Drosophila melanogaster: one gene and its partners. The protein of the gene in region 3 interacts with the protein of the main gene of each other region in a pairwise test. Each region holds a gene or a part of one and is shown on either strand. Other genes may lie near its edges. The genes, in order: Spn77Ba, mRNA-cap, CG11672 and Bem46.

Region 1 (6,797 bases), on a different chromosome or scaffold from region 3:
CCATGCCAAAAAGCCCCAGAAATCCGAGCTTCATATTGTCAACAAAATTTACTTGGCTAGACCGATAAGAAATATTTCAGCTGAAGCAAAAATATCATTTACTTTTCTTACCTCTTTGTGCACCCGAAGACTACTCAAAACTGTTTTTTTATTTACAAAAAACTATATTTATATGATTTACTTTCGTTAATTTGTGGAGTTCAATATTCCAAGCCATGTATACTTTATTTTTATGTTCCCGTTTTTTTGCACGTGCCTTGCATTTTTTATATCAGTTACTCGTAGATTTTGTCATGAGTATGTAAAATAAAGTAAAAAAAGTAAAGTAAAAAAATGTTTCAGTAAAGAGTTTTGTTAGTAAAAACTTCCAAAAAACGGTCCTTCTGGCGGCACAAGCACGTTTAATAGCTGCAGCTTATGTTTCCTTATCTTCGTATTGCTTTACTCCTTCGTATACCTTCCGTATTTTGCGATCTGGAGAATAGTAGTGGCCAGGTCACGCTATTAACGTTTTAGCTCGAAATAAAAGACATTGCTAATCGACAAGGAATTGAATCAAACAGATATTTTAATTTTGGGAATACGGACTCCAGCTCTACTCTTCTCCCACTCTATCGACCACAAGTCGGTCAAATCTGGCAAAATTTCTGAAAGAGAACGATTTTTTTGGATTTTTTTAGTTTCCTTATCCATAATATCCAGTGACATGGCGAAGGAACACCAAAAGTGCCCGAAGTTGTTCAGACCATTCAACTAATTTGCAGCTGCTAATTTTACAGTGTTCATTACAGCAGTTTTTCAGCTGTACTACGCGTTTTATTCGATATTTTCAAAGATTTTCAAAGCCGCAAGAGGGCGCTGATGTAGAAAGCTTGGCATCAGTAATACCAAGATCGTCGCGTAAATTAATATTATTTATATTCTTTAATAAGAATACGTTAACAACTTTTACATGTGACGAAAATATAGCGGTACAGTGAGACTTCCCCATTGTGCTGCTTACTTGACGTATCCTGACAGATTTTAGTTCCTGGCCGTGACGTTAGAGGAATCTTTTGGGCTGCCACAGTAGTACAGAAGTGGTACATGAGGGAGTTGCAAGGATCCGTAATAAAATTCCCCCTTTTGTCTTAACGTAACGTATTTATTGTGGTATGTGAGTAAAGTGTGAGTCGGTGGACTTTTAGGCCGCCTTGGGATTCCGCACTTGTCCGGCGAAGAGGAGAAGTCCGGTTGCCTTCTCTACGATCATGTACTGGAAGGGCCGGTTGAGCAGGAACTTGGGCGGTGTGGCCTTGTTGGCCAGCGCTGCCTCCGTGACGGCTCCCGCCGTGGTTCCCTGTTCGTCCACAATGATCTTGGTTGAGTGGACGACCAGCTTGGCAAACAAGCCGGAAGACATTCGGTCCAGGTTGGCTGTATTCTCGTCGAACAGATCGCGAATGCCCATCTAGAATTAGAAGTTATTTACAAATGTATTTCCAGATTGGATTTAGAAGTTCTGTCACCTGGATGAGGACTCCCTTAAGAGTGAAATCTGTGGCAGTCACAAACTTGGGCATCATGACCTCCACTTCGTTGTCCTCGGAGGCCCTGTTCCTGAATGCCGCCAGTCGCTGGAGGATGGGCCTCAATCCCAAGGCCTTCAGATTATTGGCTACGTCGTTTAGCTTGAATCCGCGCTTGGGCAGCACCACGATCATCGCCAGACGATCCTGGGTGCCGTAGGGCAGCTCCAGCACATAGCCATCCAAACCCTCTACGTTTGAGACGTAGGCGAAGTTCGCTTCCTGCACCATCATGGGAATCTTTCCAATGACTTCGCCGCTCTCGCTGAAAAAGGGTTCCTCTCTTGTCAGCGTTTTGTTGAAGGGAAACTGCAAGCGAAAACGATATATCGAAGGATTTGCAAGTGGACAAGTTCACTTCCCACCTTCCATTGGCCCTTGAAGTACAGAGACGAGAGCAGAAACATCTTCGCTCCATATACATCCTGTGGCAGAATGGTATAAGGAATCAGACCGCGGGTCGTGCGATTTGTGTCCTCGTTGATCTGGATCACCGAATCCGGGCTATAGAAGTCCACTTCCATCGGCTGGACATTGTAGTTTTGAATAGCATCGCGGTAGTTGTTCTTGATGGGATACCCCTTGCCGGTGTATATGGCCTGCAGGGTGGCTACTTCGATGGTGGAAGTGGTGATGCTTAGAAGAGGGAAGGGGGTCACCGCGATCCATAAATATGCAATCCTATAAACTCACTTCAGAAATGAGCTCCAAACCTTGTAGGCGCCCCGAAGCTTTTCGTCCTCGACATTGATCCGCAGGCTTTTTTTCAACTGGTTGCGGGTCTCTCCCTCGGATCCCTCGTAGAGAAGCACCAGGAGTGACCAGACGGAAAAGGGCGATATCATGAAATCCTTGTTGGCCTTCTCCACTTCAACGGATATGCGCTGCAGGAGATCGAGGGCGAAGTCCTGGACCCCCTGCGAAATGCTGACCAGGACATCCGTGTCGAAGTTGCTTCTCATGGACTGGATATGGCTGACGCCACTTTGGAAAGCCGTGGGAGCTGTGAATGCGGTAAGGGGATTGCCCACTGAAAGCTGGAGGGGCGCTTGGTTGTTCTGAGGATCCGCCGAGCACAGGAAGATGGCTCCCAGGAGTAGTGGAATCCATAGCATCAGGCAATCTGGATTAAGATGTGCATTAGAACGTCATTTCATTAAGGATCATGATGTTAAAAGCCGCACTAAAATTATTGTATTATTTTACACCAACATCATTTTAAAATGCGTTAAAGATGGATAATTTTATAAATTTCGAGTTAAATAATCATTTTACGGTAACTGTTTTCCATCGGAATATAATTTTATTATTCATTTCAGAATGTAAGTTTAAACCATATACATATGCAGTTAGCCAATTGTCCTTGAACTCCGTATGAGTTAAACCAACAACTCGATTTTGAAAAACTGCCTGAAAATCCGGCATAGCTATTTCCGGTCTAATCAAATCGAATGAAATTCAAAGGCACTCGCGTGAGTACTATGTACATATAGTATTCCCAGATGCGTAAAAATAAGCATTTTCCAATTGATAGCGATGATCCATTGACGACCTCATGTGTTTGTACGTAATACAAAATGTATATATGTATGTACATAATATGTGTTTGCTGTGCACACACGAGTACTTGTAAATTTTAAATCTCTTTATTGATTGCCTCTAAAACAACATCCCCGCCTCTGGGAAATATTCCATAATTAATTGACCACGAAGCTTACCTGCGATTTTACCCATTTTTTGTGGCTGCGATCAAGAATTGGCTCAAGCCTCGCTTATCAGGCCTTCAGGCCGGGCTTTTAATATTATTTATAATTGGGCCTTCAGGCAGGGCTTTTAAAATTTTTATAATAATTGCGCACACAAATGAATCACACTTTTGCTTAACCATGTGGGTGTGCATCAATTATTGAGAGGCTTTTAAACCTTTTATTGATGTATTTTGGGGTTTTTCGATGTTGACAAAGCGACGTTCATCTATATGTCTCTATACACTGTTGTCGGTCGGTGTTATTCGAAAACCGGAATGCACTGAGGGGAATTCCACATATATTATGTATACAAATACACGCTCGCAAGGAGACCATACGTACAGGTGGGTGGGGTGTTCGCGTATGCGGTTGCCGCTTATATAATTCTATATATTTATTTCAATTTGTGAACCCAGCTACTGGTGGTTTTCGGTTTTGCCAAGATTTTGATGCCAGATCGAACCCACGTCCACACAACTCCCCACAAACAATGTCAACCTAACGCACGAGCATCAGCTGAGTGACTGAGTGACTGAGAGACTGCTCCATCGACCATTCAGCACCGTACTGATATGGTCATCCCATCCCACCGCCACCGCCATCGTCCCACAGCCGGGTCCAAATCAGTTCAGACTCGGATTCAGATGCGAGAGCCGCAGCGAGAGAACGCGGTATTGATATTGGCAGACCTTTGTCTGCCGCTCTTGACAATGAAGCCTCATTCGCGAAATGGAAATCAGGTGGAATCACTACTATGAGTTGCAGCTAATCCGATGGTGAAACTGGTTGAAATGCCGGGTTAACTCCAGTAACTCACCTTTAGATCACATCTACATCAACTGTGCCTGAATCCAAGATATTTTAAAAGGTAACTACATGTATTCAAATGTATATGCAATATTGTAAGCTCGTGGATGGATGGTTAAGATGACATCAAATATGAGCTGTAGAAGACATATGCAGGTAGCTCTCAACTGTGTTTTATAATCATACAAATGAATGTTTTCAATACCAGTAAGTTTACAAGTGCAATAAACAACAAACTTCAAGGTAAAAAACATTTTTTTTTCCCAAGTGACAGGTGCAAACTAATGATATACTAGAAAGACAATGCTTATGGATGGACTGGAATATATGCTAGGCACCATTTTAGGAAACATCGATGGATACGAAGAGAGGATGACAGGATTAATCCAAGCGTTAACTTTATTAAAGTATTTGAATTGGAAATATCCGTGGTAACGCTTGCATAGAGGCATTACCAGGATCTTTGCAGTATTAATAATTAAATGTGTTGGGTCAGGTTTCAGTGGTGTTGTGTGTTTCCTGGAGATCTTCATTCAATAAATTCAATAATTGATTTATTTATTCTTGCTTCGGCCTCGACGACCGCGTAATCTTCGTCGCTCCGTCGTAATATTATTTATTGGATTATAATTCGCTCGTACATGTTGATCTACTAAACATCGTTAAAATTTTGCGAGATGGAATTTTCTATAAATGTGACCCTCAAGTATTTATTAGAATTCCGTGTACTTTTTGGATATTTATCGGGGTAATCGGTAATGTTTATGTGGACATATATTTTATTTGTAGGTTGTGTATATGCGTACAATCTAAACTTTAGGTTTAATTTTATTTCAGTGCACTAAATGGAATTATAATTGGTTTGAAATTCATTTTCGCTACCAGGGACTCTTTAGTTAATCTCAAAATTATCTAACACATTACACACATAGAATGAAGTTCTCAATTTATTATAGTAGTGGATACAGATTTCTATAGGGTACTTTACGCATCCAAATGGAACATCAGCTAACCCACTGATTGATTGGCTACTTACACAAATAACAAGAGTAACGCAAAAACAGACAAACATAAGTAACACCTCTAATCACTCCACATTGGAAATAATAAAGTTTTTCTTTTGAATAGCACGTGGTAGCGCAATTTGAGCCTCGGCATCTGCTGCCTTCTTCATTCGTTGCATAAACGTTAAATTAAACTCTAGAATACGGGAATATAGACTATTCCATAGGTTTAATTCACGCGTACAAGCTGGCCGTCGTTTGGGTGCTTTCAGGTTAAGCAATGCAACACGTTTAATAATTTTCTTTTAGTTATATATGTATAGGTAGATTAATATCCGAACCGAATAAAGCATTTAATAAATGTGTACGCGATTTTATCCGAAAATTTAATTGATTTCGTTTATCGCAGATCGGGATCCTCGTCCGCAGCCTTCTTGATCCGCAGCAAGATGGTGGTGTACCACTGATCCAACCGGGAGATGCTGTCGTAGTCCTTGACGGCCTCTGTGAATCCCTCGATGTTCTGTTCCTCTAGATTCTCGCACAACACCTGTAATTCGAAAAGCGTCTTAAAGTAAATATCTGCGAAAACCAAAGACGACACACACACACCAAAGATAAAACTTAAGCAAACTGATACCCACCTTGATGAGCTTGAACTCCCTGGAGTCCTGGAATGCTGGGTACTGCTGCGCATACTTTTCGATGGCATGCTGGGCGTTCAGGAGGTCCACGCTGAGATGGCATAGAGCGGCCCTGAAGAAGTACTCCTTGGCACTGTACTTGAGCAGAGAGCTCTCCAGCGAGGAGGCGGCCACCTGCTCGTATATGGATATTGCTTTCTCGTAATCCTCCAGTTGGGCGGCGTACTGGGCCACCTTCAACATGCACTTGTTGGCCGAACTGACCGACTCTTCACCCTTGAAGTAATCAGCCGCCTGCTCATAGTGCTGAATAGACTTGGCCTGAAAGGGAAATGGTCCATTAATATGTAATTAGCATGGAGGCGCACACGGGAACCCACCAGATTATTGGGATCACTTTCGTACATCTCGGCGATGCTTTGGTGATGTTTGGCAGCCATCGTAAAGCGGCCCATATCCGTGTAGATGTCGATGGACTTCATCAGGCAGTTGACGGCGCTCTCCACGTCCACCTTCTTGTAGCAGTTGGAAGCGTCTACGTAGCAGGTTCCGGCATCGTGACGACTTCCAGCCCGCGCGTGTAGAGTTGCCGCCTCGCAGAAGCACTCCCCAGCCTTTGTCCAGTTTTTGGACATCTTAAACATGTTGCCCGCCCGCTGGTAGCACTCGATGGCGTCCTCCACCTTGTTGGACCCTCTGGAATAGTAGATATCGATAAGTAATAAGCCTTAATGTAATCCAAGGGATCAGAAAAGAGCATTAACTTTTTACTAATGATAATATTTTTATATTATCATTTATATATGCATATACGAAGGTGGTTTTGAAAAGCCTATTGTTTAAACTTGGATTTGTTTCTGGATGCTGTGCAAATATACAATTTTTTGTAAAATACCTTAAAAATGTAGATTTTTAAAAACAACTAAGTTTTTCAGCGAACTGAGGAAGTTTCCAAGTACGAATTACAGTTCGAATGGGTAAAACAAAAAATGTATTTCAGCTTACATATATAATTTCTTTGTTTTT
Region 2 (6,311 bases), on a different chromosome or scaffold from region 3:
CGAGCGTCCGCAGCATCCTGCCCATCCCGAGGTACTGCGTGCCGTTGCCCAGGCGGTTGACATACCGATTATCGCCAACGGTGGTTCGAAAAACATGCACTGCTACGATGATCTGCGCAAATTTCAAATGGAATGCGGCGCCGATAGCGTGATGGTCGCACGTGCGGCACAGATCAATGTTAGCATCTTCAGGCCGGAGGGCCTGCTGCCCATGGACGAGCTAATCGAGAAGTATCTGCGCCTGTGCGTCGACTACGACAATGCGCCGCATAACGCCAAGTACTGTGTGCAGAGCATACTCAGGGAGCTGCAGGAGACGCCGCGTGGCAAGCGTTTCCTTCAGTGCCAGACGCTGCAGCAGATCTGCGAGATCTGGGAGCTGGGCGACTATTGCCGCCGCAAGCAGCGGGAGCTAAAGACGATGGGCAACTCGGGACGGGCGGAGGTGGAGCCACCGGAGGCGCTGGCCAAGCGACAGAAGCTGGAGGATGCGGCCATTGCCATAACGGACGAGTACGACGGCATCATTTGCCGACACATGCCATTCCTGCGCTCCACCTATCCCAGTGGTAAGTGTTTCGATCAATCTCTTGCCATGATAGCCATCATCCCCATTCGGTATTTTTCATGCCACAGATAATCATCTGCCGAAAACGCAACTATATGTGCATGCTGTCAAAACTGGCAAATCCCCGCCAGCGTACGAAACGCAGCAGTGTGACAAATTGTTTCGCTCCATCTGCACGTACGATGGCCAGCGCTTTAGTAGCTCCTTCTGGGAGAAGAACAAGAAGCAGGCAGAGCAGGGCGCCGCTCTGGTGGCCCTGCTCCATCTTGGCCAGCTGGAGGCGGAGGTTCTGCGCGACAATGGCAGCCTGCTCAACTGAGCAGCAAAGTTCCTCCTGTTTTATGTAAATGTCATCCATTTTGGCTATGTTTTGGACACCATTATTTAGTTGTTTTTTTTTTTTTTGATTATTGCAATGGCTGTTGCAACTGCCTTAGGTGCTGGGAGCAGTATCTGGACTACCTCCATTGGGTTAACAAAGTTTGCATCTGAATAAACAAAACTGCAAGTGTGCAGTGCTTTAAATATATGTATGTATTTAGATAAATAAATTATATGAGCTGTTTTAAGTTTATAAGGAGTACAGCTGGTTGGAGTGCTCCTAGTACTAAGTAATTCGTAGTTCAGCTAATCCAAGAAAACCCAAGTTCACACAGTTTTTCGGTACATAACTCACGATTAATTTTATTCTTTCTTTTTTTATTACGCTCTGATTAATTTCCTAATGTCGGGTTCACGCAGGGACGACGCTGGTGTTGGCCATGACCATGGGGATAAAAGTGGTTATGGTTGTGGTTTTGGTTATGGGAATTGATCGGCGGCGGCATCATGACATGATCATTCCGATAGCCAGAGCTTGCGATAAAGTTTAGTAGGTACTCCTTGGTGACTGGATGCTTTATGCTGTCCACAACGGCTGAAATTAAGATGAGTTGAGAATGAGTATAGGGATCCTCCTACTGCTGGTGAAGATTACTACTCACAGCGGGCTGTATTATAACTGTTGGGATTCTTTTTGTCCGTTCGCTCGCGCATAAAGTCCCAGTTGCCAAACTGATTCATGGTGCACTCAACGATTCTGTTGTCCAATTCTCTGGTCTCCTTCGTTAACCTTTGCATCCGTCCATAGGGTGCATCGTGTCCGCCGACATAGAGGAAGCCCACCTTTTTCGTCAGCAAGCTGCCAGAGGCGGAGAATGGCATGGTATGAATTGAGCCCGTTGAACGGATAGATCACTACAACTCACCCCTCGCCGCGCTCTGTTATGATCTTCAGCCGAAAGTCCACCGAGTTGAGCTCATGTGGCTTCCATTTGAAGACATCGGAGCATGTGCCAGCCGTGTAGGGCTGCTTTGATGGCTGGAAGATGAGGCCATCCGGTTCGTGTGCCAGTGTCCGCGAGAATTTCTCACCCAGCAGCCGGGCAGACATCCAAATGTCCCAGAAGTCCTTGCCGCGCACACTGAACGCCTGCAGCCGCTGATTGATGATGCCATGCTTCATGCCCAGGATTCGGGGACCTGCAGCGATATATGGATGTGTCCTTCATAAACGAACATCGAATAATTACTCACCTATAACTTCCGTCTTAATGTAGTCCAGTCGATTTGGATAGAATGGCTCGTCCCGCACATCGCGATTCGATAATCGCACAATGTCGTAGATGAGGTAGCGCGGCGTTACGGTCTCGCCGATCTTGTCCAGCACCATCTCCTAAACGGACAAATAGAACGATAATTTAGTTGCAATCAGGAGTGCCAGCTAGAATCACATACCCCGTCGACGAGAGTGCCGTCGAGATGCTCGTTTAGGTTCCTGCTCTCCACAAATGTCACATTCTCCACCTGGAAACAGGAGTGATTGCGATCGAAGAAATATACCTCGTCCCTTCCATCGATGAGCATCATATAACGTGTACCGTCCGCCTTCCACGACACACGATACGGTATCTCGCTTAGCCGCTTTATGTTCTCCCTGTCCATGGAGACGGGCTGTGCGCCAGGGAAGCCGTTCTTCTTCCAGTCGCACCAGTCCTGCACCTTACGCTGCAGATCGCCCAGTCGCGGCTGATCGCTCACCTGTCGCACGCCCGGCACTCCCGCCATAAAGGTGGCATTCTTGATGATCATTTCGCGCCGTCGCTTCTTACGCGGCTGACCGTCCGACGTGGAGGCGTCACAGTCGCCGCCCGCATCCTCTCCCTCCACCTCCTCGGCGTCGTCATCCTGCTCGCCGGCCTGCTGTGACGTGGATGAGGAGTTGTCCTGCACAAAACCATCGCCGTTGCCATCATCATAGTCCAGGCACCAATTGGGCTGTTCTGGTGCCGCTGGAGCGGCATTCGTGTCCTCGTAGCGTTTGTACAGCTCGTTGATGTAATCCTGCTTGTAGATGCCCGGCGGCCGGGCGCTGGCAAAGATAGCGAGCGCTGCCGAAACGGAGCAATCGAGTCGCTCGACCAAATAGCAGACAATCAGGAAGCCAGTGCGATTGAAACCGTGCGTGCAGTGCACGGCTATAACGTCAAATGGACGTTCGTTAATAAAGTTGTCCACGATCTCGATGAAACTGTGCGTCTGCTCCGGCGATGGCGTCTCGCCATGTCCACGGCACTGCAGCTTAATATATTTCGCGCCGAGCTCCTCCACTGCGGATCGATCGTAGAATCGTTTCGTATTGGTCAGGTCAACCCAGAGGCCCAGTTTCACCTGAAACCATAAGATGGATTGGATAAGTGAGTTGGAAATTGGGGGATGTTGCGTTTGCATTCACCTTTAGCGTTTTGCAGTATTCGAAGAGCATCTCGGGTTGAAAGGTGCACTCGATGGGCATCTTGTCGTGAAAGTTATTGCTCAGCGGGGTCTTAAAGGCCAGGAAGCGTTCCGCAATGATGGTATCGCTCTTGCGCGGACAGTATAGCCAGCGATTGGGCAATGGACCAGAGCCCCGTTCCCGATCCCGATTAGTTAGGGCCATAGTGCCACAGTGGCTCCGCCTCTCCTGCTCCTCCTCCTCCTCCTGCTGCTGCTGCTGCTGCTGCTGCTGCTACTGCTGACGACGATGGAAACGGCGGGCGCAGCGATGGGACGACGCCGTTGCGTTTGTGTTAGGTGGTTTATTGCTGGTGCAGATTGTGGTGGATGCAGATGCAGCGAGAACTCGCGGGCCTGGGAATTCTGTGTAGGATTTGTCTAGAGATGTGGAATATATATGTAAAAATATCGATATCTTATTTGTTTCCCTTTTTATAAAAATAAATGATATATATATATATAAGATATCGCGTTTTTTGCTAAATATATTTTTCATATTTCTTATTGGTCACACTAATATGCAAGTGAATTCAAATAAGAAAGACGTTAATAATAAAACGGAAATAAAATGAGCACAGCCAGAAGTTATTATTCTGGAATAATCGACAACAGCGCGACCTGCAATGTTTGTAGCAAATCTAGTTAAATCTTTATATCTTTTATCATTTTAATGATTTTATTAAAAATGATATATCATCGAACTGTCCAGCCAAATTATCGATGCGTCCGTTACATCGATAGCATCGATTGTTTGAAAATATTGTTGGGGGAATTCGTCAAAAAGTTGTTCTCACGGGGAAATTACGAGAAAGTATTTACAAAAGTATTTAATAATATATATAATAAATTTTAGTGTAATTAAAATTAATTAAATAAAAAAATTAAAATTTTTTTAAATATACAGAACAGAATTAAAAAAACATGTTTTTCCCCTACCTTCTGCCGCTCATTTGTATCGATAATCGTTTTTCAAAATAGCTGCGAATCTTTTGCATAAAAATAAACAATTTAATTGCTGCATATTTCGGTCGATGTGTGCATACACACATACGCACATACCTATATATATATATATACGCATCAGTTTCGATATGAACTTGGGGCACACACAGCCAGCCGTACAATTATTTACTGCAATGTAAATAAACAACAAATAACAACAAATCGCCCGCAGAAATCGAACGAAGTCGCGAAAAAAAAGAGGAACGAGGAGGTTTGGGCTCGTAACCACACAATTTCGCCTCTCACTCGATTTTTGATCGCCGCCCGGACGCGATCTTCACTTCATACAAATTGTGAAATTTTTGCGAAAATTTGAATACACTCCGTTCCGAAACTCGATTGTTTTTTTGCGGTCCGTTCAAACCGAACTAGTACGTAAGCCACTTATTCCGTCGCAGAGCCACGCCCATGTCCGCGACCGCCTCAAATCGCCAGCCGGTGCCAAAATTTCCGGCCGCCATGCCGCGTGGAACGGGCACAGTGTGCTCCAATCCGGCGGTGCCCAAGTCGCCGGATGCCCTCACCTCCCTGGTGGCCCGGAAGAGCATTACGTCCATGTCGGAGGAGGAGATCATTCAGGAGAATCTCAACGAGATCCTCGACCTCAAGTCGCGCGTAAGTTTGAATTTGAGGCGGTGCTTTTGAAAAGTATCTTAAGAAGCGAAATGAAGATACAATATCTTAAATATGCCAAATTCGCAAGTTTAGAAACCTGAACTTAATAATTAACTTTTCAGTACTCAATTAAAAATCGAATGACTGTGATCTTTTTCATTCATCTACATATATTACTGAATCGCTTAAAACTAAACAAAACTTGAACAATAACCATATGGACATTCCATGAGTGCTCTCGTTTTTTTTTTTTTTTTTCACCGTGTTGTGATTCATTGGAAACACCTTGATTTACGTGCACGTCATTTACGAATGGATCACTGTGACTTTCAGATTTTCCTCAGCTTTTCCGAGATTTGCAGACGTCTCTCAAAGTTTGTACGACGCCATCGTTTGTGGCGCCATCATTATCGATGGGAATCACTGGAATAGAATGTGTGTCCGATCATAAAATCCGAAATGTTCGTTTAGTTTTCGCCTTAGATCTTTTTGCACATACAGTGGATGTTAAGAATGCATTTGCCATTTAATAGTTAACTGGAAAATGTACAGCAAGTGCAGAAAATGACACTGGAAGAAGCGTGTTTCCAAATTAATTGATTTGAGTTTGACATGCATACGCATTATTTTTTGAAAATTTCCAAACCTATTTAATACAAATTGTATAAAATCAGGCACGCATTTTGCGATCAACAAATAACGAAGCGAAATCAACAAAAGTCCCAGATATACACAAAAAAAAAAAAAATGCCCAAGCGTTTTTGTGTAAATCACGCCATTTTATGAAGTGTAAGATAATCAAATCGGTATTGAGTTTCCCTTTCGGAAACTTTTGTGCAATTAAAAACAAATTAATTGGCATCCAAGTTGATTTAAGCATTTTTGAAATCTTATTTTCAAAATCCAAGGCACTTAACTTTTTGTTATTTGCAAGAAACTATCACTTTTTTCTTTTTGTCCAGCATAGAAATGCACGTAGATTTCTTTGCTTTTACCTATTTGCACTTTTTTTTGCCGTGTATAAGCCTCTATATGCACGGAACGTGAAAATTGTAAACAATTGTTTTTATGGCATCACTCACAAAAACAAAAAGAGAGCCAACCCTGAAAAGCCCTGAAAAATTCTCAATCCAATTTTGCAACTTTGCAAATTGATTGGAATTGGTGACCCCGTTTCTCATATTCCCATATATCCATGTTGTCCTTTTGCAGGAGGAGCGAAAAGCCAATGGACGTCTGGTGGCTGTGATCGTCTGTTTTCTGGGTAAGTTTTTGGGATTTTTGTAATACTACAGTCAGGCCTGCCTAACAC
Region 3 (5,097 bases):
TATGGGAATGACCATCGTTGATTAGGCATTAATAGAAATATTTTTTAAACTATATTTCTCGATGATTAATGCTATAACACAGAATTTTGCCTGCAACATAAATAAATTGTTGGCGCACTGAATGATTTTATTTTAAAATCTATAGTAAAAACCATTTCAGCTTATAATTTAATAGTCAGTGACTAGCCTTTTCGATGTGCCAGATGTAAAAAGATTGTTTTGCTCAGAGCTCGGCTTTCAATAGACAAGAGTCGCGCGATCTACGTCATCAAAATCCGTCAGATGTCTGGAGGAGCTGAACAGATGTTGGAGTAGGCGGAATTTGTGCAGCTACACTACCAAGGCGATCATCAGCAGGGCAACAACTGTTACAAGCAGTAAAAATAAGATAAAATTCAGAGACTCTTAGTGAAATTGCGGCAAGAGCCGAAATAAAGAGTCGTAGAAATTTCGTTGCTGCACTGTGAACGACGAGAGAGATGTGTGATGCGATGCTTTGGTGTATCTCACGGATGCACAGATACTCGCTTCGGATATTCGCTCAGTGTGCGGTAGGCAGGTCAAAATAATTTTGCTTACTGCGGAAGCGAGAGGAAGAGGAAAAAAACTGGCTGATCTCGATCTCGATCTCCGTCTCTATCTCTTTCTAGGGCCAGCTGTCGCCCATTTGGATCGGATCCGTATGCTACTATATCTTATATCGTGTGGCTGCCACGTGTCGTGGGCAAGTCCATTGGGCAATTGGTCAGTTTAGCCGAACAATGGCCAATTAGTATGCATGCGACTTTGAAAAGTGAACTTGCGATTAGCCACAAAGTTGCCCAATATACATATGTACATATGTATATATATGCAATTACAGAGCAACCTCTCTAAGTCGAATCAAACTGAAATGAGATCTTGATACTAAGTAGTAATTTACTTCACTATTTATTGATCATTTTAAAATGTGTAAATTCCTTGGTTTAACACACGCCTCTTAGCGTTTTATAAGAACATAGTGATTTGAAATTGATTTTATTTCAATTCCAAGCCAGACTTTAAAAAGGCTTCACTGTGCCTGCAAATATGCTGATAGCTGTACCAGATCGACTGCAGCAGCTGTAAAATCAATCAAAAACTTGTCAAATAAATGTCATGCATAAGCAATAAGTGAACAGGATGTGGCGAGTCCTCGGCCCCTGTCATCTTGCGGGTGCATAAATTTGCCATTGGCTGTTTTTGCCTGGGTTCTCTCTTAGGACTATTGCTTACGGGAAGGGTCGGTCCACTATGATTGCCGGCACTGATCCTGCTCCTCGCGCAGATAGTCGCCGATGTGCTGCACCACCATGGCACTGCACAGCTGAGCCTGCACCACTTGATCCTCGGCGGTCTGGTGGGTCTGCACCAGGATTAGGGATGCATTGTGCATGGATTGGGCCATCCCCAGATTGATTTCCGCCATCGCGTTAATGAAACAGACACTTCCGCCAGCTGAAGCTAGAGGATTAAGCGGGGAAGCCCCCAGCAATTGGCACTTGGCCGGCAAGTGGGCAATCTGCTGTACGAATTCCTGTACTCTGGCCAAAGCCAGTTGACTCTCCAGACGGAAGTCTTCCAAAAGGCTTCCCAAGTCTTCCGTACACCCACCCAGCTGATGGGTCACATTTTCATTGAGCTCATCCAGGCTCCAGGCTGGGTTGCAATCGGGATTGGACACCACTAACTGGTTTGTCTCATAGATCACATCACTTAGTTCGGCCATAGCATTGGCGGTCAGGACCTCAATGTTACCGGCAATATTTTGCCGAGTGCGATTTATTTTCTCCTCCAACTGAATGGAGGTGTCGTCGCTGACACTTACGGCAATCTCTGCCAGATTGTCCACAACCATGGTAACAGGTCCATAGTTTGTAGTCTCTGTCTCCATCTTTGTTTCATAGCCGACTTCTTGGCAGTCCTGAAATAAAGGAGCATATGAATTTGAAAAGTACTATAAATGGAAAGTTACTATTAACTCACTGCCAAAGTCAGCAAAAGCAGAGCAAGTACTCCCAGAGTTTGACTCATCATCTTTCTGTTATATTTCCTAGTGCGACTGGCCCTACACTTGACTTCTTATATATGTCAAGAGATCCAGTGTCACGATAAGAGTGTGTCTCATAGCAATCACTACGAAACACAATTTGAGCATTAACTTGATGAACTGAGATGATGTTTTAGTACATGAACTTGGTATACTATTCAAAGTATTCTATTTGGTCATCGTATTTTTCGTAAATTTTCGTAATTTCTTTTTGTAAATTTCTCACCTTCGTTGAATAATGGAGGGATCAATTATACTTTTATTTGTAAAAGGGGAGATATTTACAGTTCAAGTTTGCTAAAGAAAGCTGAGGTTGATGACTAACTTGAAGCATATAGTCGTTACACAGTCATCATGCGATAAGAATCTTTCTTATAAACATTATAAGACACAAATGAGCCATTTGTCTAATTCAGAACTTAATTTAAGTTTTGTTCGGAACTTAAATACCCTAAAGTTTCATATTGATCACATATGACATGGGTATTTTTAGCAACTTACGCTGTTAAATTTTTCGGTATCCCAATATTTTCTTTATAAACAATAACAATTTTTGTTAAAGCGTTAAAACTCTTTCCCAAAAAAGAATTTAATTCTTAGTCTTAGTTAATTAAGGCAACCTTTGGCGATCTATAAATAAAAGGTATGGTATCTTCAATTTTTCGGGAATCAATTCGATTTAGTTTCAAGATGACAACAGTACGGGTGTCACTGCTTTTACTTCAGTCGCTTCTTTGTGTATGAAATAGCATTATTTGTGTAAAGTATAATATTAAAGAAAAGATCTTACAGGTGCATGGCCACTTTCAAAGAATTTGGGGACAAAATGGACCACTCTATGAGTCCACAAAGCAGCTTATAGCCAGCCAAAGCTCCAGTGCAGCCAGGATCTGGAACGTCACCCAACAGGCCCTCGATCAGAAGTTGGAGTATCTTCAAGAAGCCAAGGACACACTGGATGACCATCAGCAAGTGGTTAGTGGACGCTTGGAGATGTTTTTTGGAAGCCAGTACAGCGATGAGTGGCGGGCATGCTCAAAGAAGTACGAACTCCAGGTGGCACACTTCAATCGAGAGCTGGTGGACAAGTACAGTATCTGCAGGAATTCTCTGGACCACATCATGGATCATTTTCAGGAGGAAATCGTGCTGGAGGCTAATTTTCTGAGTAAGGCTTCGCGGGAGATCAGTGAGTTGTCAAACACCTGCAGAATCTGGCAGCTTAAGCAGTCTGGTTTCAATCACGCCGGAGTTTTATTATGCACTGTCGCTGGAATCGGGAGGATCAATCAGCGGATGATCAGCAGTCTGGAGCTGTGCGATGCAATTGTGCTGGAGATGTCCTTGGAAGACCTGGACACACCAAGTTGCCTCTTCTACCATCATCTGAAGATGGATTTCGATGACCTCTTTACGCAGATTGAGTCGTGTGCGATAAACTAGAAAGAATGTAATAAAGTCAAATGCACTATTAACTGTGGTCTGGTGTCGACTTGAAAATATTAATTACTTACATCAACTTTTACCTAATATTTATGAGCATAGTTATCTTTAATCGTTATCAGTTCGACCATTCATAAAAAGCCAAATAGAAATTTAAATTTTCTCTCGAAAAACATTGCCCCGTGGTGGTTTATATATAGCGTAATATTGGCGATAAGCCGGATAAGCCTAATCAACCTGCGCCACTTAAGAAAAACCAAGTGTGGTATCTTCGATAGTGTTTTACGAGCCATACTTCTTCCGATAATGAAGCTGGTCAAAATCCCTCCCTCAGTTGTACTGAAACAGTTGCCCGGGCAAAATGATTGGAAAAGCATTGCTTCTGCTGGGCTGTGTGCTGCTCTTCGCTTTTGGTGAAGCCAACCAGGAACTGGAGACTCTGCTGCAGAAGCAACAGGTGGACTTGCAGTTGTCTGGCGAGGAAGTGGCTGCTTTGCGTCCACTGTACCTAGAGTTTCAGGCGCAGTACAACTATCTGTACAGCCTGAGGCTCCAGAGCGGCGATGGGAGTGATCAGAATCCCGCGGAGGAGCCTGAACTGGATAGCAACTACCTACGGGCATTTGAAGACTTTCGCGAAAAGTTCTCCATTTACTTGGATGAGAAACCTCGAGTGGTGTATGACACAAAATTGCCCACTGTCGACGAGATCATGGGAAAGCCCAGTCCCGACTTCACACCAAATCAGAGGGCGGAATTCGAGGATCTCAGGGAGATTATTCAGGATGTTATTGACGAGGCACAGTTCGGCATTGACGACTTGGTGGAGAGGGCCATCCAACTGGAGACGAATCTGCTGAAGCTGAACAAACCAAAGATCGTGACCGCAGCCATTGCCGGATTGGGATACATGTGGAACTACTGGGGCCGCGGAAGTCAGGCCGCCTATTGCAGTTACTCGCTGGTCCCAGAGTTCCAGATAGGTCTGCAGGCCATTAACGATGGCGTTGATTGCTACTCCCGCACCATGGCCTTGGTAATGCGCATTCAGAATGAAACAGTGGCCGCTGTGAAGGAGGTTAAACGCAATGTCAGTAGTCTTGTGAAGATTTGCAAGAAGATTGCCGCCAAGCAGACCACCGTTGGCAAAATCCTGTCGGGTACAGTAAACGCTCTCAGTGCGATCCGCCGGCTACACGACATCATCGCTGTCGGAATCGATGTCTACGGCAAAATCAACAACCAGTTGCCGGAGGAGGCCATCCACTCTGCGGAGTGTGGAGTGGTGTTCGTCAACAGCATACCCCAAATGTTGGAAACGGCCCAGAATCTGACCACTTGCATTACCTACGTGAATCCGGATAAGCCCGACTTCGAATTCACGCATCCCGAAGAGGATCGCTATTGGAACACTGGCGCTGATCCTCCGGAAATACCCCATGAAAACGTGGTGGACGATGATGACGATGATACGGACTATCCGGAGTTGGACGACTATGAGGATCACAGATAAGCTTTGGAATTTCACCCATTGATAAGGCAAAGTTTGATAATCGGCACAATAATGTCCAAATAAGAATAAATTG
Region 4 (5,733 bases), on a different chromosome or scaffold from region 3:
CTGCAGCGACAGACGCACAAAAAATCCCTGTCGAGCACCATCATTGACAACAACGAGTCGGCCGAGAAGCATTTCACCCGCGACGATCTGAAGGACTTGTTTACATTTGATGCGAACATTCTGTCCGACACACACGACAAGTAAGAACTGGCTTTGGATACCCTTTAGATCATGATCGTGTAACATATCTTTTCAGGCTCAAGTGTAAGCGCTGCGTTCAAAATATACAAATGAAGCCACCGCCCGAGGACACGGACTGCACCTCGCATTTGTCACAATGGTACCATTGCTCCAACAACAGAGGCCTGCCTGACAATATTCTCGCCCAGGCCTGGATGGATTGCAAGTGCGTGTCCTTTGTCTTCCACCACCGATCGCAGGCTCAGGAAATTGTGCCGAGTGCTGAGGAGGAAGCAACAGATCAGCCAGAGGAAAAACCAGAAAGCCGCAAACGATCATCCACGCCCGCCAGTGATGACAGTGCCGATGAGGACTTCCGTGGATTCTAGCAATTGTTTGCAGTTTATTGTTTCTCGAATTTCCTTTTTCTTCGCACTTAAGTCTAAACTTAAGATAACTTTTTCTGGCTTCCTTTGCAATCCTAACAAGTTATTAATTTAACATTTCAAAAATGGAACCAGCACAAAATGTTAACGTGCTAGGGGTGAAGGCTTCTATAAACTAATCTGGCAATGTAGGAGTCAGTCCAGAAAATAGTTTACTTTTTTGTGAAATACTGATCAATTTCTATACTCTTAACTGGCCGCCAATCGGGCAAAGTAGTAGGTTAACATAGCTTAGGACAAATACAAGCAAACATCGAAATTCGGATTCTAGTGTGTATTCACTTGCTTAAGCGCAAAGTTATTTAAGTTGGTTACTTAAAATCAACAGCCATCTCCGCTAGCACGTTATTCTCTGCACATAAAAAGCAATTTGGCGTATAGCAACGTCCGGATTAAAACCCTGTCAGATACAGATTAATATTATGCGTGTGTATATGTATAAGTATTAAACCATTCGCAGTGTTAACACAGTCAATTGAACACTTGATGTATTCGGGTCTATACATCAATAATTTTATGCTCCAGCTCCACCCAGACGTTGCTCTTCTCCGGCGCCTTGAGGAGCGGCTGTTGCTGCAGCTCGGCCAAAAACCCACCGATGGCCTGATAGTACCTAAAAAGCAAGCACACCCATGGATAAATGGGAAAGTGAAGATTAATTGCCGGCCATACCCGTCCACTATCCAAGTGTCGTTGTGCGATCCGCCGGGGAATTCGAGCAGGCGCTTTATCTCGCTGCCGCATTTGGTATACAAGGCACGCATCATGCGCGGTGGCACTAAGTTGTCCGCAAGGCCCGAAATAAACAAAAAGGGAACCGAACACTTGCCTATCTTGCTCATGGAGTGATACTGCATGTGAAACAACAAACAATAATGTGGTAATGAGATAAAGTAAACAGAGGGCTCAACCGGCGACGACTACCCACCTTATTCTTAAATAATAGATTTGGTATATACTTCACAGCGGGATGCACCAGCTCCACGGCCATTTCCGGTATGCTGCTAAAAGTGTTCTCCACAATAGCGCACATTAGCTTCTGTCCATATACGGTATCGGCTGCAACGTCGACCACCACAGCTCCGCCCAGGGAGCGTCCGAAAAGTATCAGTTGCGAGTGGTCCAGGTCGTGGCGGGTGTGCAGGTAGTCAATGGCCGCTCTGGCGTCGGTGACCAGACCCCGCTCGGTGGGTACACCGGTGGATAGGCCATATCCGCGGTATTCCACCATCAGAACATTGCAGTGCAGATGGTGGTAGATGCCCCACACCTGAGAAGCGTGTCAGAGAATTGTAAAGTAATGTCGTTATCAGAATTGGCGCTCCCCTTACGTTTTGCATGCGGTGTCCCATGTTGCCAGCGTTGCCGTGGAAGTAGAGCAGCGTGGGCGACGACTTGGAGCGCTCCTCCGGTTGGGTAACCCAGAAGGCGTGCAGAGTGACATCGTCGGGTGTCTTGATGCTGACCGTAATGTGCGGCAGGTTGTGCATTGTCGGAATGGGTATGTAAATGCGGGAGTTGGCTGGCAAGTCCGGATGGTAGAGAAGCAGGTCCTGGGCATAGTAGAATATCACTGCAAGGGCAGGCACTTAGTGACGAATGACTGGTCTGAAGCAGAATACGTACGCAGGATGATCCCAGCGAAGAGTGCCAACGTCATGTAACCGCCGTAGAAATAGTAGAAAATGAAGCACAACAGGAAGGCAGCGAGTACTCCCACGCCCACGCCGCGGGACTTGGGCAGAGCGATGCCCACTTCTTTCATGTTCGCCTGTGGTCCAGCTGCGCTACATGTCCAACGCTCTAATTTAATTAAATTGCATCAATTCCAGCGCCAGCAACACAAACGATTTGTAATTGTACACCGCCCACAGCTGATTTCCAAGACACCTGTGCAGTGCGAAAAGTTATCGATAACGCAGTACAGTAACTACTGACGATCAGCGACCCCGATAAGGTTGTGATCATGTGGCTATAATGAACTACTACTACTAAAATTATTAAATATCGTTCAACTCAACATTCAACTCATAAAATAAAATCAGTCAAGTAATTAAGTAGTTTATTTCTTTTTGACATATTCTGGATAACTTGAAACGCTACATTTAATAATTTTATGCCTATGAAAAGGAATATATAATATCAATATAAATTCAATTCATGACTCTATTTACTTTATTTTATATTTATATAAATGTTGTACATGTTTTATATTATTATGCAAGCGATATATCCCGCATCATCACTGTCGCGCGGTGTGCCATCTCTACTGCAGCACGCACGGTCCCACTAATTCAAGATGGTGGAAAGATTTCTGCTGCGTCGCATGAGTAAAACGTGAAAAACGATCATTTTGTTTCGAAAAAGTGCATTTCAAAACAAGTGGGCAGCGGGAAAAACATAAACATTCGCCAGCGACCGCATGCAAGTGAGCCCCCTGTATTTAATGAGCGCTACAAGGCAACTGTGTGTGCTACCACGACAATATAATGAGCCAGGTGAGTAGGCCTTGAAAAAGCTGTGGTTGTCAAACATCGGTGTGTGTGGAAAAATCGGAAAAACTATGAATTTCTTATATCATTTGAAACCAGACAAGTCAAAACAGTTTGATCCAGGCTGTCGTGTGAGTAAAAACGTAAATCAAATGCTACACACAAGGCAATCGCTCAGTTTTGTGGGCGTGGCTGCTCAGCAACGAAGTCTGTAGAAGTCCCCTCGTCGCGAGACACCTACACTTTGATGACTGGCCGTGCGGCTGCTGGCGGAGCATTTGGATAAAAGGATTTATTTCTCCACTATTCCGAGAGTGTTTCATCCTTCCGACAGTGCCTGACAGTTCCCAAGGCTTCAACGTGGCAGCCAAGGTGGATTTTGTGGAAATCCATTGGGTACCCATTTTCGCAAATTCTACTCAAATTCAAGAATTTCTGTTTGTTTTTATCAATAGCGGCTGTTAAAATCCTGTAATTTCCATGGATTTCCTTCCTTTTTCGATAAAATGGAAAATTTTCACCGATTACGTAATCAGAAATGGCTAGGTGCAAAGTTTCCTCTCTTGTACTTCTGACCAAATTCCAGGGATTTTCGAGCCCGCCAAAAGGCTACCAGCAATAATTTTCCTTAAATTCCTCCTCTTTTCGACAGATACAATGATTAAAAATAATTTTTTCCGCTTTGCCATTCCTATTTCCACAGTTTTGTGCCTTTTTCAGGGAAAGATCCCGCCCAGAACATCGATTTCCCGCTTGTTTCTAAGGATATCCGGGTTTCTAATCACCAGGAAGAAGTGTCGTGTGATTACCGCGTTCTCTTCAAAGTAGTCATGTGCTTCTGTCGTGTGCTTCCTGGAACTACAAAACGCAATACATTTTGTTTTACCCTTTTTGGCCAAAAACTGCCATAAACAAATTTCTGGAGAGGATTAGTCCTGTGTAAGCCATGAGAGTGCGTTTTATGAAAGTTTCTTCACGCCGTTTTGTTTTATAATCTGTTCAGCACGGCCCAAGAGCCAAGTTTTCGAAGTTTTCCGTGGTTTTACCAGGCTTTTGTGGAATCTAAAGTGCGACCTCACTCTGGACAGGATTGAGCCATCTTCTTGTTTTAAAATGTCACTTTAAGTCGTTGCCTATAGTTCAGTGATTGTGTAACCCATTCCTTACTTCTAAGGAGCTGAATAAGGGGAATATTAAACATGTTATGCCAATTTCGATGCACTCTGTACTCACAATTTCTGGCCAGGATTGGCTGGCCCAGAGCCGGTGTGTTACTTCAACCTTTTCGTATCCGACGGTTTATCTTTAACTAAGATTGATTGATCTTCAACCTAGATTGATTTTGAAATTACTTTTCATCTGACCAGGCACTCAATGAATCGGCGAATAGTATTGGCTCAGACGAACAAGATGACACTCGGGAAGAGGCCAATGGCACCGACCATAGTGGCAGTGGCAGCGGTAGTGGCTCCTCCGGCTCAGACTCAGATTCAGACAGCTCCTCGGGCAACTCTAGCGATGGACGGAGCTCCCCAGAACCCGAGGACAAATCGTTATCGGTGGCAGGGTTTCCACCGACAGCCGCTGCTGCCCAGGCGGACAGTAAGACGAACGGGTTCACGGATGACCAGGAGGACAGCTCCAGTGACGGGTCTAGTGGCAGTGATTCCGATTCAGACGCCGAGGGCCCATCGGATCAAAGGAACCAGAGCATCAACAATGCCAACACAAGCAGCAGTTTGCCTAAGCCGGAGCAGAATGAGGAGGAGGACAATGAGACTGAGGCTGGTCAGCAGCAGCCAGCCAGCGATGCCTCTGCCGATGAATCAAGTGATAGTTCTGCCAATGTGTCACCCACATCCTCCAGCAGCAGCAGTGTAAGTTTGGACCGGCGGTTTCATCTTAAAAAGTTCCTAACCATTCTCCACGCAGGAGGAGGAAGAGGAGGACTATAGACCCAAGCGGACGCGCCAGGCGCGCAAACCACCGACTGCTGCTGAGAAGTCGAAAAAAGCTCCAGCACCCAAGAACAAGAAGAAAACGTGAGATTTCCAGCATCCCCTTTCCAAATTATTTTCTACAAAGCATTCGTTTCATTTGCCAGCTGGGACTCGGATGAAAGCGATGAAAGCGAGGACAGTGATGACGAGGTGTCCACCGCCCAAAAGCGCAAACCGGCAGCAACTACCTCTCGCAGCAAACTCGCACAGCAACAGCAGCGGCGCAGGGTGAAACCCTTTAGTTCCGAGGACAGTGATGATGACGACGCTAGCAAACGGTAATGACCCCAGCCCTTTGCTTTTTGCCTTTCCCTGACCCATGTCCATCTTTTTTATAAAGCTGCGCTACTCGTCGCAAGGGTGCTGCCGTTAGCTACAAGGAGGCTTCGGAGGACGAAGCCACCGACTCCGAGGATCTGCTGGAGTTTGAGTACGATGAAAGCCAGGCAGCCACCACTGCCGCTACGGCTGAGGAGGAGGAAAAGTGCGAAACCATAGAGCGTATCCTGGCGCAGCGTGCTGGGAAGAGGGGATGCACGGGCAATCAGACAACGATCTATGCAATAGAGGAAAACGGCTTTGATCCACATGCTGGATTTGATGAAAAGCAAACTCCAGACGCGGAGACCGAGGCACAGTTCCTGATCAAGTGGAAGGGCTGGTCGTACATCCACA

What was found.
Region 1: the proteins of CG11672 (region 3) and Spn77Ba interact in a two-hybrid assay, tested with the Drosophila melanogaster proteins (one large-scale study listed by BioGRID).
Region 2: the proteins of CG11672 (region 3) and mRNA-cap interact in a two-hybrid assay, tested with the Drosophila melanogaster proteins (one large-scale study listed by BioGRID).
Region 4: the proteins of CG11672 (region 3) and Bem46 interact in a two-hybrid assay, tested with the Drosophila melanogaster proteins (one large-scale study listed by BioGRID).

The regions. Positions count from the first base shown.
Region 1 is NT_037436.4:20,314,278-20,321,074, reverse strand, and holds Spn77Ba (serpin 77Ba), read right to left. Parts: upstream 3,886-6,797; 5' UTR 3,303-3,885; coding exon 3,287-3,302; intron 2,692-3,286; coding exon 2,262-2,691; intron 2,205-2,261; coding exon 1,934-2,204; intron 1,878-1,933; coding exon 1,509-1,877; intron 1,451-1,508; coding exon 1,184-1,450; 3' UTR 959-1,183; downstream 1-958. Other genes in the region: Spn77Bb (serpin 77Bb), read right to left, coding at 1-34; alphaSnap (alpha soluble NSF attachment protein), read right to left, coding at 5,528-5,677, 5,772-6,092, 6,152-6,467.
Region 2 is NC_004354.4:14,239,037-14,245,347, forward strand, and holds mRNA-cap (mRNA-capping-enzyme), read right to left. Parts: upstream 3,787-6,311; 5' UTR 3,546-3,786; coding exon 3,342-3,545; intron 3,278-3,341; coding exon 2,345-3,277; intron 2,283-2,344; coding exon 2,144-2,282; intron 2,090-2,143; coding exon 1,816-2,089; intron 1,749-1,815; coding exon 1,552-1,748; intron 1,485-1,551; coding exon 1,282-1,484; 3' UTR 1,230-1,281; downstream 1-1,229. Other genes in the region: Dus2 (dihydrouridine synthase 2), read left to right, coding at 1-569, 637-887; CG32599 (uncharacterized protein), read left to right, coding at 4,793-4,999, 6,212-6,263.
Region 3 is NT_033777.3:8,288,494-8,293,590, forward strand, and holds CG11672 (uncharacterized protein), read right to left. Parts: upstream 2,086-5,097; 5' UTR 2,056-2,085; coding exon 2,005-2,055; intron 1,943-2,004; coding exon 1,271-1,942; 3' UTR 902-1,270; downstream 1-901. Other genes in the region: nazo, read left to right, coding at 1-25; CG31464 (uncharacterized protein), read left to right, coding at 2,759-2,806, 2,861-3,511; CG31463 (uncharacterized protein), read left to right, coding at 3,873-5,024.
Region 4 is NT_033779.5:2,984,843-2,990,575, reverse strand, and holds Bem46 (Bem46), read right to left. Parts: upstream 2,461-5,733; 5' UTR 2,332-2,460; coding exon 2,193-2,331; intron 2,140-2,192; coding exon 1,898-2,139; intron 1,837-1,897; coding exon 1,495-1,836; intron 1,418-1,494; coding exon 1,239-1,417; intron 1,180-1,238; coding exon 1,065-1,179; 3' UTR 510-1,064; downstream 1-509. Other genes in the region: okr (okra), read left to right, coding at 1-140, 197-509; Chd1 (Chromodomain-helicase-DNA-binding protein 1), read left to right, coding at 3,130-3,189, 4,426-4,935, 4,991-5,100, 5,163-5,336, 5,399-5,733.